Linked DNA regions of Tribolium castaneum. The protein of the gene in region 1 purifies or fractionates together with the protein of each later gene. This does not show direct contact. Links are inferred from orthologs where the notes say so. Each region holds a gene or a part of one and is shown in the gene's direction. Other genes may lie near its edges.

Region 1 (3,063 bases):
AGAAGACAGTTTGTGCACCTGTTTAAAATTAACACGAGTAAAATTAAAAAAACCTCTCAGGATTCAACCGATCCTTTAAATTATTATGCTGAGATCTTTAATCTCAGTGAATGTATTTTTGTATATAACCCAATAAAACTATAAAATCAAAAATATGTTAGGATCATCTGGTGCTTTACAGTTTTCTCTGTGCATGTGATTTTTTTCAGGATTATTCTACAATTCCTTACAATAAATATTAATTAATTAAAAAAATCAATATAATAATTAATTAACTAAATTTATAGTCTTAGGGACTAGTTACTGTACAAAGCCAAATAAAATTTAATTCAGGATTAAACTTCAGTGGTGGAGAACTTACGGATAAAACGAACTAGTTTTCCGTTCATAACGAACTTTTCACAGAATTTTGAGAAATATGTCGGGGTTGATAGTAAGTATTTAATATAATAGAGAAGTGTTAACTGATGAACAAATTATTAACTAACTAAAAATAAATATTTTTTGTGTTTTGACATCTAATTACTGTGTAATTAACTACTTAATCCAAACTTTTATTATTTTTTGGGATATTAGAGGTTGAAACTTTCACTTCAGCGTCTAAAAATTAATCAGAAACGCAATATCAACTAGGAAATTGGGATTGCGTCTTTTGAGTACTTTTCCCAAAGTTTATATGACTAACAGACGGTGATTTGAGCAAACGAGCGTATGCGAGTTACATAATATACACCCGAGAACTTTAAACGTTTTCGCGTGAGTGTTTGTTTTGTTGGAATTTTTAAATTAAATTAATATTTTTTTATTACATTTTTTAAATTTCTTTTAAATTTAAACGTGTTCACATTTGATTTTTTTTACTTTTAATGGATCAAATAAAGAAAGTCTAACATTACACAATATTTCAATTCTGCCAAAGATTCTTCAAACACTAAAATGTGTTAATGAGTCAATATAAATAAACATCTGTTTTGTATTGACAATATTTTAACATACATTAGGTAGAAGAACAAAATTTCATTTACAAATACCTACCTACATAAACTGGTAGAACAAAGTTTGAAAAAAATTGAATGTATAGGGAACCAATAATACAGCGGTGTTTTTACATTGGTGTAAATAGGTTACCTATTTCATAAACATAAAAATAAGTTTTTATTCTTTGTTTCTGTATTATGCTGAAAATGCAAAAAATTGCCTAATACATGCGGTCGTATTTTTTTTTGGTAAAATCCGGGCAGGTTCCTGTGTTGCCGACAGCGCAGTGACGTGGCGCATGCGCACAGCGTCTGTCGTTCATTTTGTACGCCATTTTGTCGTTGGTTGTGTGCGTTGCCGCCGGGTGTAGAAAAAGTGAATTTCTCAGTCAAATCAGCGTACAAAATCAGTAAAAATGGTCGACACAATTGAAATGAGTTTAGATGAGATAATAAAATCCAAGCCCCGGCGCGGCGGCCGTCGCGGAGGTCGCGGCGGAACCCGCGGGGGTGGCGCGCCAAGACGCGGCACGTTCCGAAGAGCCGGCGGCGTCCAAAGGGGCCGAGGACGCGGAGGAATAACGCGCCAGTACACCCGGGTAATTGTTTCTAACTATGTTTATACTTAAGCTGCCCCGCGATGGAAGCGGCTAGCGTGCATCCAGCCGGAGAGCCGGAATTTACCCCCATCCATGTTTGTTTAGGGAGATGTGAACAGTGCTTGGAAGCACGATCTGTTCGAGGGCTACGGCCCGCGTAAAGTGGCCGCGGCTCGGGCCGTTGTGCAGTCCAATGTGGGCCCCACTAAGCTCATGGTGGGCAATTTAGACTTTGCGGTCTCCGACTCGGATATTCAGGAATTGTTCGCCGAGTTTGGGCCGCTAAAGAGCGCCTCGGTGCACTATGACCGCTCGGGGCGGTCGCTCGGCACCGCTGATGTGATTTTCGAAAGGCGCACCGACGCTATTAAGGCCATGAAGCAGTACAACGGAGTGCCTCTCGACGGACGCGCCATGAACATTCAAATCATCACGTCGGAGATTCCGTCGCCGGTCAGGAGGCCCACGGGAGAGAGGAAGTTCCAAAGCAGAAGAGGGGCTGCACCTGCCAAGGGACGACCTAACAGAGGTACAATTACTTGACCAGCGGCGGCGACGCCTCCAACAGCCGGATTTTTCAACTAAACAAATGTTTGTTTGCCAGGTCGTGGAGGAGGACGAAGTTTCAGAAATCAAAAGAAACAACCGACAGCTGAAGAACTCGACGCTGAATTAGACGCCTACACCAAGGAGATGAAATAAAATAAGTGCTATTAATATCAGAGACGCTCAACGCGCCACTTTTTGTGACTTGTGTTTAGTTCTTTCGTATTTTTATTTTGTATTTTGATTGTAACATCGAGCCTTACATTTTATAAAAAATAACCACTAAAGTACGAGGATTACGTATGCGGTTCGTTTTTTCCACAACTAAATCTAGTGTTAGGCTGTTTTCTCTTGTTAATGTAAATTGTATTGATAGGAATAAATAAGAATTAAGTGTGACTTGTCGTTTCATTAGAAATTTTTTTTATTTATACATAAAACTGCATCAGCCAAATGTATCACATGACGTTAAGACCGAGTTGTATAAAAAATTAATCGCCTTCAATCTTGATTTAAAACCATAATAAATCTTGTAACAGTTGTCGCTAAAGGCACGTTGACACGGATCGATTTTAGTCGTTTATTTCAAGTTGAACAATAAAACTTCAACAAAAATCATCGTCAGAATCTTTGTTGTGTCTTAAGTGGATCAAGTTTTTTACGATGATTTCCATTAAAAATTTTCATCTTTAATTGAACAACTAAAGTGGGTCCGTGAGAACTTGCGTTTAGGGTTTATATTACTAAATATACGACAAAACAAATTACAAAAAGTACATCCAATCGAAGCGAGTGCACTCAACGTAATTTTCATCAATAAAGAATACTAAAAGAAAATAATAATTTATTAAGCAACAGTGTAAGATTAATAATTATAGTAACTGAGCTGTCTTGTGGCTGCTTGTAATGTTCACAATTTTGTATCAAAATTAAATTACATT
Region 2 (4,173 bases), on another chromosome or scaffold:
AACTGTTGAGATATGGAACCGAAAATTCTTCGAGCAGAGAGAGTTATAACAAAGAAAATCACAATTAACTTACTTCTTGTTAGCTTCGAGCATTTTTTTTGGATTTGATCGTTCGCAAATAACAATTGAAGGAAAGTTTGTTTGCCAATTTAAGTAAGATGTGTCCACTGAAAAGGATATTTTTTGGTTTTGATACTGGTCTAGTGCGTTAAACATTAGCATAATCGATGCGGCCTGTGAATCTATTTTATTGTGGTAAAAATTTGACGATTTGTGGGATTTACCCAAGAAGTTAGGACACATATTGTCCAAAAAAATCTTTCAGTCCAGTGGAATCTCTTATCAGCTATGAAATGCAAGCCATGTAGAGACGTGTTTAAGAAATATTTTGTAACAATACTCATTGTAGTGTAGTTGGGAATTTGTAATCAATACTATTTATGAGTTGGGTCATAATGCAGTAAAACTTTAATAAATTATTAATAGATGTGTTGAATTGTCGCTGTACAAAAACCTAATAAAAAGTTAACAGTTTTCAAACTATCAATTATATCATCGTAATATTTATTATGTATCTGTGGGAAACCAGAATGATACGTGAGCATTTAAGTAACCGCAAGCTACTTAAACATGAGAAGAATTAAAAAATAAGGAGTGCCAGTTGTAATAAAGAGCATGTGTGATTTCTATTAATTTAATAAAATACAGTCATTTCTTGATAATGTTTTTATTGAGTCCACGTTCTATTTTTATGGATAAAGTTTGTAATAGCAATATCAAATTCAATAATCATAAATCATAATAATTTCGCCATTTTTCGTCCATTTTTAATTTAATAATTAGGTAGGCAAAACCAAATGCTCAGTTGTTTTATTGGTCATCTACTCAATAAACTTATTACGTTTTTTAGTTTTATTTATTTCGACAAAAACATTCGTAAATTTACGTTCTTTTAAAACGAACATCATTTTATGTTTTTGACTTATTACCGATAAAATTTCACTGAAAAATCGGCTGTTTTTGAAAAATGTGTTTTTTTTATTTTGATATGCCTCTTTTTTGCAGTCATGTGTTGAATGTTGAATAAAAACCGAAAAATCAATAAACTTTATGCTATAATTTTATAATAAAAATAATGTTTAAATGTAAAATTTACAAAAAAGTGAAAAATCAAATCATAAAGTGACGCAGCCTTAGCCACTTCTACAATCAAACATATGCTTATCTCTCTTTAACTTAAAAGATTGCGATACGTGTCTCACTCCGATAAGATGGTAACCACAATGATAACACCGTGCCAACCAACGAAAAAAAGCTTAGGGATTAAATTAGACAATAAGGTTGTGCAATAATCTATTTCCTAAACCACTTTTTAATTTTGAGGCCATAAAAAAGATCAGTGCGCTAAAAACTGAAAAAGATAGCACGAGTGTTTAAGTTTCCCGCTCCGTCAATTATGCTTCGGAAAGAGAAATGACGATAAAAAAACAAATGATTAATCAGGAAAATATGGCGCTTGCCAGGAGAAAAATGTAGAAATTTTAAAGTAACCATAGTCGAGTTGTCATCAATTGAAGTGTTAAAAGTGTTTCATCAGTAAACGTGAATAAACCCGTGCTTCAATTCGTTCGCGACGAAATCTCCAAGATGAGTGTCGACGCATACGGCCCCAGTTCGCAAACTCTCACGTTTTTAGAGACCGAAGAAAACGACTTGATCGGGGCTGACACCCAAGGATCCGAATGCGAATTCACCGATTTCACAATTCCATCGCAAACGCAAGCCTCGCAGCACGACCACGCGGGCCCCAAAGTTTCCGGTGTACAGGTTAGTGCAAGGTCGCCCCCTGGTTCAGTGTCGTATGACGTTGTTGTTTTAGCTCAACAACAACATCAACAACAAAATCGCCAATGCGACGAGTGCTTTAGGGGAACTGCAATTCGAGGAAGAGGATGAGGAGTATTTCAACAGCAAGGAGCTCCCGAACTACGCGTGCAAGTACTGCGGCATTCATGAGCCGAATTGCGTTGTCATGTGCAACTGCTGCAAAAAGTGGTTTTGTAACGGGAGAGGAAACACCTCAGGAAGCCACATAATCAACCATTTGGTGAGGAATTTCAACTTGGAAACTGTTTTTTGATTGGGGTTTAGGTCCGAGCCAAACACAAGGAAGTGACCTTACACAAGGACGGCCCTTTGGGCGAGACAATCCTTGAATGTTACAGTTGTGGCGTCCGCAATGTTTTTGTTTTGGGGTTCATTCCTGCCAAAGCTGACTCTGTTGTGGTGCTACTTTGCCGCCAACCTTGTGCCGCCCAAAACTCACTTAAAGTAAGTCATTGCTTTTAAAATAGGACAGTTTTCAAGCTTTTAATAGGACATGAACTGGGATCAAGACCAATGGAAACCACTCATTACCGACCGGTGTTTTCTCACATGGCTTGTAAAAATACCATCAGAACAGGAACAACTGCGAGCGCGCCAAATCTCAGCCCAACAAATCAACAAACTTGAAGAACTTTGGAAAGATAATGTTGATGCCACGTTCCAGGATTTGGAACGGCCAGGAGTTGACGAAGAACCGCAACAAGTTAGTCTTGTTTGCACAGTTCTAACGTATTTATTATAATTTTTTTTGGTAGGTTTTATTGCGATATGAGGACGGTTATCAGTACCAAAACATTTTTGGTCCTCTTGTTAAGCTTGAAGCTGATTATGATAAAAGATTGAAGGAGTCTCAGACTCAGGAAAATATTGAAGTTAGGTGGGATGTGGGTTTGAATAAGAAAACAATTGCGTATTTTACTCTTGCTAAAACTGACGGGGATATGAAATTAATGCACGGAGATGAGTTGAGACTTAGATACGTGGGAGAAATGCATAAATCATGGGCGGGGGTGGGACACGTTATCAAAGTTCCTGATAATTACGGAGAGGATATTGGCATTGAGTTGAAGAACGGAAATGGGGCTCCCACCGATTGTAACAGCAACTTTGTGGTGGATTTCATTTGGAAAAGTACCAGTTTTGACAGGTAAATTTCGTTGTTGTGATAGAAACAGAAATAATCACGTTAATCTCTTTATGTATCACATTTTTTATTTATTTTTTTAATTAATGTTTTACTGTTAGTAGTCAAACGTTGAAAGTACCATTGTTATAAACTTTCACATTAAATATAAGTATAATATTACAATCAAACTTTATTTTAAAAATCACAGTAATTAAAAAAAAAGCATGAGAGAAGTGACGCATTTTCACTTCTTATTTCCGAATGTTAAAAAAATCTTTGTAAGATGTTAATTTTAAGCGTTGATATTTCAAGCTATATTAATGTGGTAATTTTTTTATAAGGTTTCTAAGAATATTTAATTAAAAAAATAATTATGTGAAAACAAGTTTTCACGTCGTTTTTTTCTGAGCTCGCCTTTATTGTTAATTGCAGGATGCAACTCGCCTTGCGAAAATTCGCCGTTGACGATACATCCGTTTCCGCCTACATCTACCACCGCCTCCTCGGCCACGAGGTCGAAGAGGTCCTTTTCCGTTGTCACCTCCCTAAACATTTTTCGGCACCTAATCTTCCCGACTTGAACCGTTCGCAAGTCTACGCCGTCAAACATGCCCTCCAGCGTCCACTCTCCCTCATCCAAGGTCCTCCCGGAACGGGAAAAACCGTAACTTCCGCCACCATCGTCTATCAATTGGTGAAACAAAACGGCGGTCCAGTCCTAGTCTGTGCTCCCAGTAATACGGCAGTTGACCAACTTACCGAAAAAATTCACAAAACTAATCTAAAAGTTGTAAGATTGTGTGCGAAATCACGCGAAGCGATTGATTCGCCTGTGAGTTTTCTTGCATTGCATAATCAGATACGTAAAATGGAAGCCAATACTGAACTCCAGAAGTTGCAACAGTTGAAAGATGAGACTGGAGAGTTGAGTTCAGTTGATGAGAAACGATACAGAATGTTGAAAAAATTGGCTGAGAAAGAATTACTCGAAGCTGCCGATGTTATTTGTTGTACTTGTGTGGGGGCAGGTGATCCACGATTGGTTCGTTTGAAATTTCATTCGATTCTGATTGATGAAAGTATGCAAGCGACTGAACCCGAATGTATGGTACCGGTGGTACTAGGAGTGAAACAATTGATTTTGGTTGGTGATCATTGTC
Region 3 (4,215 bases), on another chromosome or scaffold:
AACGAAAAACCGAATTTAAAACCCACCTTTAACAACAAGGGCCACTTGGAACTGTCCAACTTTGCAATCACTGAGGAGGGCTCCACTGCAAATTCGGAGCCTTTTTGAAGGTTCCCCAAGTCTTTGTCGCCCTTGCTTTTCTTCTTTTTCTTCTCCCTAACGGGCGTATCCGCCTCTGCACAAAATTGCGTTCTAAATAACGATAAGACAAAGCGGCCGGTTTTTTGAAAAAAATCATTATTTTTGAAACTCTAAATACATTTCTACCACTAATTATTTATCAAAGAACGAAATAAAGCCTCGTTAAAGATAATAATAAACAATAACTTACCAAACTCAGACATCGCTTAGAAAATAACCAACACGTGCATCCGACACAGAAAGTAGGGTTAGTTTTTTGACAACTAACAACAATTTTGACAGATTTTAAGTGGCGCTACTGAAAAAAATTTAAATGAAATAAATGGCGGGAAATGTTTTTTCGGTTATTTAGAGTCTTAAACGATTTTTCTTTTATTTTTTTTATTTTATTTTGGTAAACATTGGCGTTTTTATGCGCTGTAATCGGTGTTTAAAAATTTAAAAAATGTAAAAATTGCAATCTTTTTTTTTGTGTTTTTTTTCGGAAACACTGAGACTTAGAACTAAAATCAAAAAAGCATCAGATAGCGCCTAAAATTATCTATTTTCTTGCCAAAACCCGGAGCCGCTTCGGTCAACGGTTCCAGGTACAGAGGCATATAAAGTTTTACATTAAAAAAATATTTATCAAAAACCAAAAGTCTATTGTCCATTTTTTATTTCATTTAAAATTTTGAAATTTTTTGCTCAAAATTTTAATAATCAAGGCACTTACCTTCACAAAAATTAAGAAAAAAAATTTAAACTCACTCTAGCAAAGTTTTACGAACTTTTTGGCAAATAACTCAGAATGTGTTAGTTAATTACAAAACTTAAAAAAAAATGCCAATAGTTTTAGAAGAAATATAACATATGACGCAACTGTAAGTACCCTTCTATAGCTGTTTTTTTTGCAAAATTATATACGGTAACCCGTTTGCAAAATGTAATTTCAATTTTTAGAAGTTGATTACTCTACATTTTTCCAATTCAATCCAGGATTTTTTTTAAATATTAAAAATCGTTCTATCGAAGAGTTTTCTAAATTTTTCATTAATTTTAATTTTAGACCACAAAATTTTAATTACTATAAGAAAACTGGCCAATTATTGTCCGGTTTAACATTTTATCTGGACACCGGACAATCATCTGGGTGAAAACCGGACAGGTGTGGCAACCCTATGAGGAATTTGGTGACGATTTAGTGATTATCGTTTGTGGGTTGGTGCCATTCTGGGGATTTTCGTAGCGTTGGGTTGCGCGTCGCTTTTTTCTGACAGTTTTTTTGATAGCACGTGTTGTGGCCGGTTTTTTCACGCATTTCGCCTAAACTAAGTATAAAAATGAATAATTTGCTTCGAGTTGCGTCCAGACTCAGCTTCAAGACGCTCCTGAGTCCGGTTAAAAAAGTGTCCAACACTTTCCAGCAGCGGCAACTTGCGCGCAATCTTTGGTACATGTGCAATCGCAATGAGTCCGAAAACAAACTGAGCAAGTTGTGCACTTGTGGGTGCATGAGCAGGCACCAGCATGCACACAGTAAAGGTACGTAAGTGAGCCCAATAAGTTGGAGGAATAACAAACTTGTAGCCGAACGTGAACTGGTTGAGTTTCTCACTGAGGAGATTGTCCTGGAGAGGAAGGCCCAGAAGTCGGTGACGCTTCCAGCCGAGCTTGAGGGTTTTAAAGTGGGGTTGAACGGGTCTGAAGTCACTTTGAACAAAAAAGTTGAAAATGAAACGTGAGTCAAATGCGTCTCATTTCTTGTTATGAAGTGGCAACTTCTAGGATAAAAATTACTTTCAATGTGAACCACACAGTAGACTCTGATGAACTACCTAAAGTGGATTCGACGATGGACAATCCAGAATTTGGAGAATTAAAGTCAAAGCCTGAATTTCGAATTGAAATTGTGCGAGGGTCGACCACTTTCAGTGTTTTGTGCTCATTTTTAGAAAGTGATGAGCAAGAGGAAGATTCTAGTAAGACACTTCTGTTTTTAATTCACAAGATTTTGCACAACTTTCGGCTCAAAATCTAATCGAATGAAACGCCATTTGGTGATAATTTTATTCGGTTTTAGAGGATTAAAAAACGCTTCGAACACTAAAAAATCATATATGATAGCATTTTTGTGAAGATATGCGAAATCTTGGAATAAACTAAGCCCTTAGCTGAAAAAAGTTCAACCTGATTTAGCAAATTTTCGGCTTATTTTTCGCAACAAAATGTCCTAAATCCCCCGAAAACGCAAAAAATTGGGATGTTTTAACCTTACTGAAAGATTTTAGGATTTTAGCTCTAATACATCCTTTTTTGGTTAATTTTTGACGATTTTCTTCGAAATAATTAAGTTTTTGACGAAAAAACGTTTTGAAACGCTCAAAAAAAGGCAATAATTAGACAAGAATGTGCAAAATAAATGCGTCTTTGGCTCAATTAAGAATGAAATCGAGGAAATCAATCTCAAATAGAATATCATGGTCAGTATGATTTGGTGTTTTTTTCAACTAGTTTTGGAGGATTGTAATTCGAAAAAAAAACTGCTTTTTGGCGTTGTTTTGCAATTCTTCGGCTTCTTGTAACTAAATTTTGCAAAACAACTGCGTTTGTAATCTAGAAAACCTGTTAAAACTCCCAAAAACAATACAATGATCGTCTATTTTTTATTCAGTTTAGCGAAATTGCGGAAAAAAACACGCTATTTTCAGGCTAGTTTACTGATTTCTCATCTTTTTTCTTAAAAATAATTGTTATTTATGGTCGAAAAACGTGCCAATATGGTTAAAATTGCTAAAAATAATGCCATTTTGACCTGATGCTTTGTTTGGTAATTCTTTTTTGTAACCAAATTTTGAGATAACTGCTTTTTAAAACTTCCAAAAACCAAAAAACTACAATGATCACCGGTCTATTTGTTTATTCAGTTTAGCGAAATTTCTCAAAAAGTACGCTATTTTCAGACTAATTTAGTGATTTCCCAGCTTTTTCTTATAACGTTTTGAAAAATTATTGTATATTTCTTGTTTGAAAACGTGCTAAAATGGTTAAAATTTGTAAAAATAATGTCATTTTGATCTAATTTTGGCTTTGTTTGGTAATTTTTCGGCTTCATTGTGACCAAATTTTGAGAGATAACTGTGTTTTAAAACTCCCAAAAACGCTACAGTGATCACAAGTCTATTTTTTATTCAGTTTATTCAGCTATTTTCAGGCTAATTTACTGATTTCTCATATTTTTTCTTAAAAATAATTGTTATTTATGGTCGAAAAACGTGCTAATATGGTTAAAATTGCTAAAAATAATGTCATTGTGACCTAATTTTGGGTTTGTTTGGTAATTCTTCGGCTTTTTTGTAACCAAATTTTGAGATAACTGCTTTTTAAAACTTCTAAAAAACCACAATGATCACCAGTCTATTTTTTTATTCAGTTTAGCGAAATTTCTCAAAAGTACGCTATTTTCAGACTAATTTAGTGATTTCCCAGCTTTTTCTTATAACGTTTTGAAAAATTATTGTATATTTTTTGTTTGAAAACGTGCTAAAATGGTTAAAATTTGTAAAAAAATGTCATTTTGATCTAATTTTGGCTTTGTTTGGTAATTTTTCGGCTTCATTGTGACCAAATTTTGAGAGATAACTGTGTTTTAAAACTCCCAAAAACGCTACAGTGATCACCAGTCTATTTTTTATTTAGTCTATTGAAATTTCGTTATTTTTAGGCTGACTTAGTGATTTCACAACTTTTTTCTTTTGTTTTGAATATTTCTGGTCGAGAAACGTGCTAAAATGGTAAAAATTATGTCATTTTGATCTAATTTTGGCTTTGTTCGGTAATCCTTCGACTTCTTTGTAACTAACTTTGCAAGATAAATGCGTTTCTTGTTTATAAAAACTGTTAAAACTCCCAAAAACGCTACAAGTTTAATGAAATTTAGAAAGAATACGTTATTTTCAGGCTAGTTTATTGATTTCCGATGTTTTTTCTTACGTTTTGAAAAATAATTGTATATTTCTAGTCGAAAAACGTACTAATAAAACGGTTAAAATTGGTAAAAATAATATCATTTTTTACCTTTTGCGATTTTTGTGT

The links.
Region 2: the proteins of Ref1 (region 1) and regulator of nonsense transcripts 1 purify together in Homo sapiens (co-immunoprecipitation; 3 studies listed by BioGRID and IntAct, with this or other methods). This does not show direct contact. The link is inferred for Tribolium castaneum from reciprocal best matches to the Homo sapiens genes ALYREF and UPF1.
Region 3: the proteins of Ref1 (region 1) and P32 purify together in Homo sapiens (affinity purification with mass spectrometry; 3 studies listed by BioGRID and IntAct, with this or other methods). This does not show direct contact. The link is inferred for Tribolium castaneum from reciprocal best matches to the Homo sapiens genes ALYREF and C1QBP.

Annotation. Positions count from the first base shown.
Region 1 is NC_087395.1:19,979,798-19,982,860, reverse strand, and holds Ref1 (THO complex subunit 4), read left to right. Parts: upstream 1-1,281; 5' UTR 1,282-1,393; coding exon 1,394-1,576; intron 1,577-1,681; coding exon 1,682-2,105; intron 2,106-2,180; coding exon 2,181-2,278; 3' UTR 2,279-2,521; downstream 2,522-3,063. UniProt on the Homo sapiens protein: Functions as an mRNA export adapter; component of the transcription/export (TREX) complex which is thought to couple mRNA transcription, processing and nuclear export, and specifically associates with spliced mRNA and not with unspliced pre-mRNA.
Region 2 is NC_087397.1:527,762-531,934, forward strand, and holds the start of regulator of nonsense transcripts 1, read left to right. Parts: upstream 1-1,314; 5' UTR 1,315-1,647; coding exon 1,648-1,827; intron 1,828-1,879; coding exon 1,880-2,107; intron 2,108-2,151; coding exon 2,152-2,331; intron 2,332-2,377; coding exon 2,378-2,590; intron 2,591-2,642; coding exon 2,643-3,034; intron 3,035-3,445; coding exon 3,446-4,173. Other genes in the region: sodium channel protein Nach, read right to left, coding at 1-27, 74-234, 285-404. UniProt on the Homo sapiens protein: RNA-dependent helicase required for nonsense-mediated decay (NMD) of aberrant mRNAs containing premature stop codons and modulates the expression level of normal mRNAs.
Region 3 is NC_087394.1:7,764,762-7,768,976, reverse strand, and holds the start of P32 (complement component 1 Q subcomponent-binding protein, mitochondrial), read left to right. Parts: upstream 1-1,367; 5' UTR 1,368-1,463; coding exon 1,464-1,665; intron 1,666-1,710; coding exon 1,711-1,861; intron 1,862-1,908; coding exon 1,909-2,102; intron 2,103-4,215. Other genes in the region: Nop60B (H/ACA ribonucleoprotein complex subunit 4), read right to left, coding at 27-175, 332-344.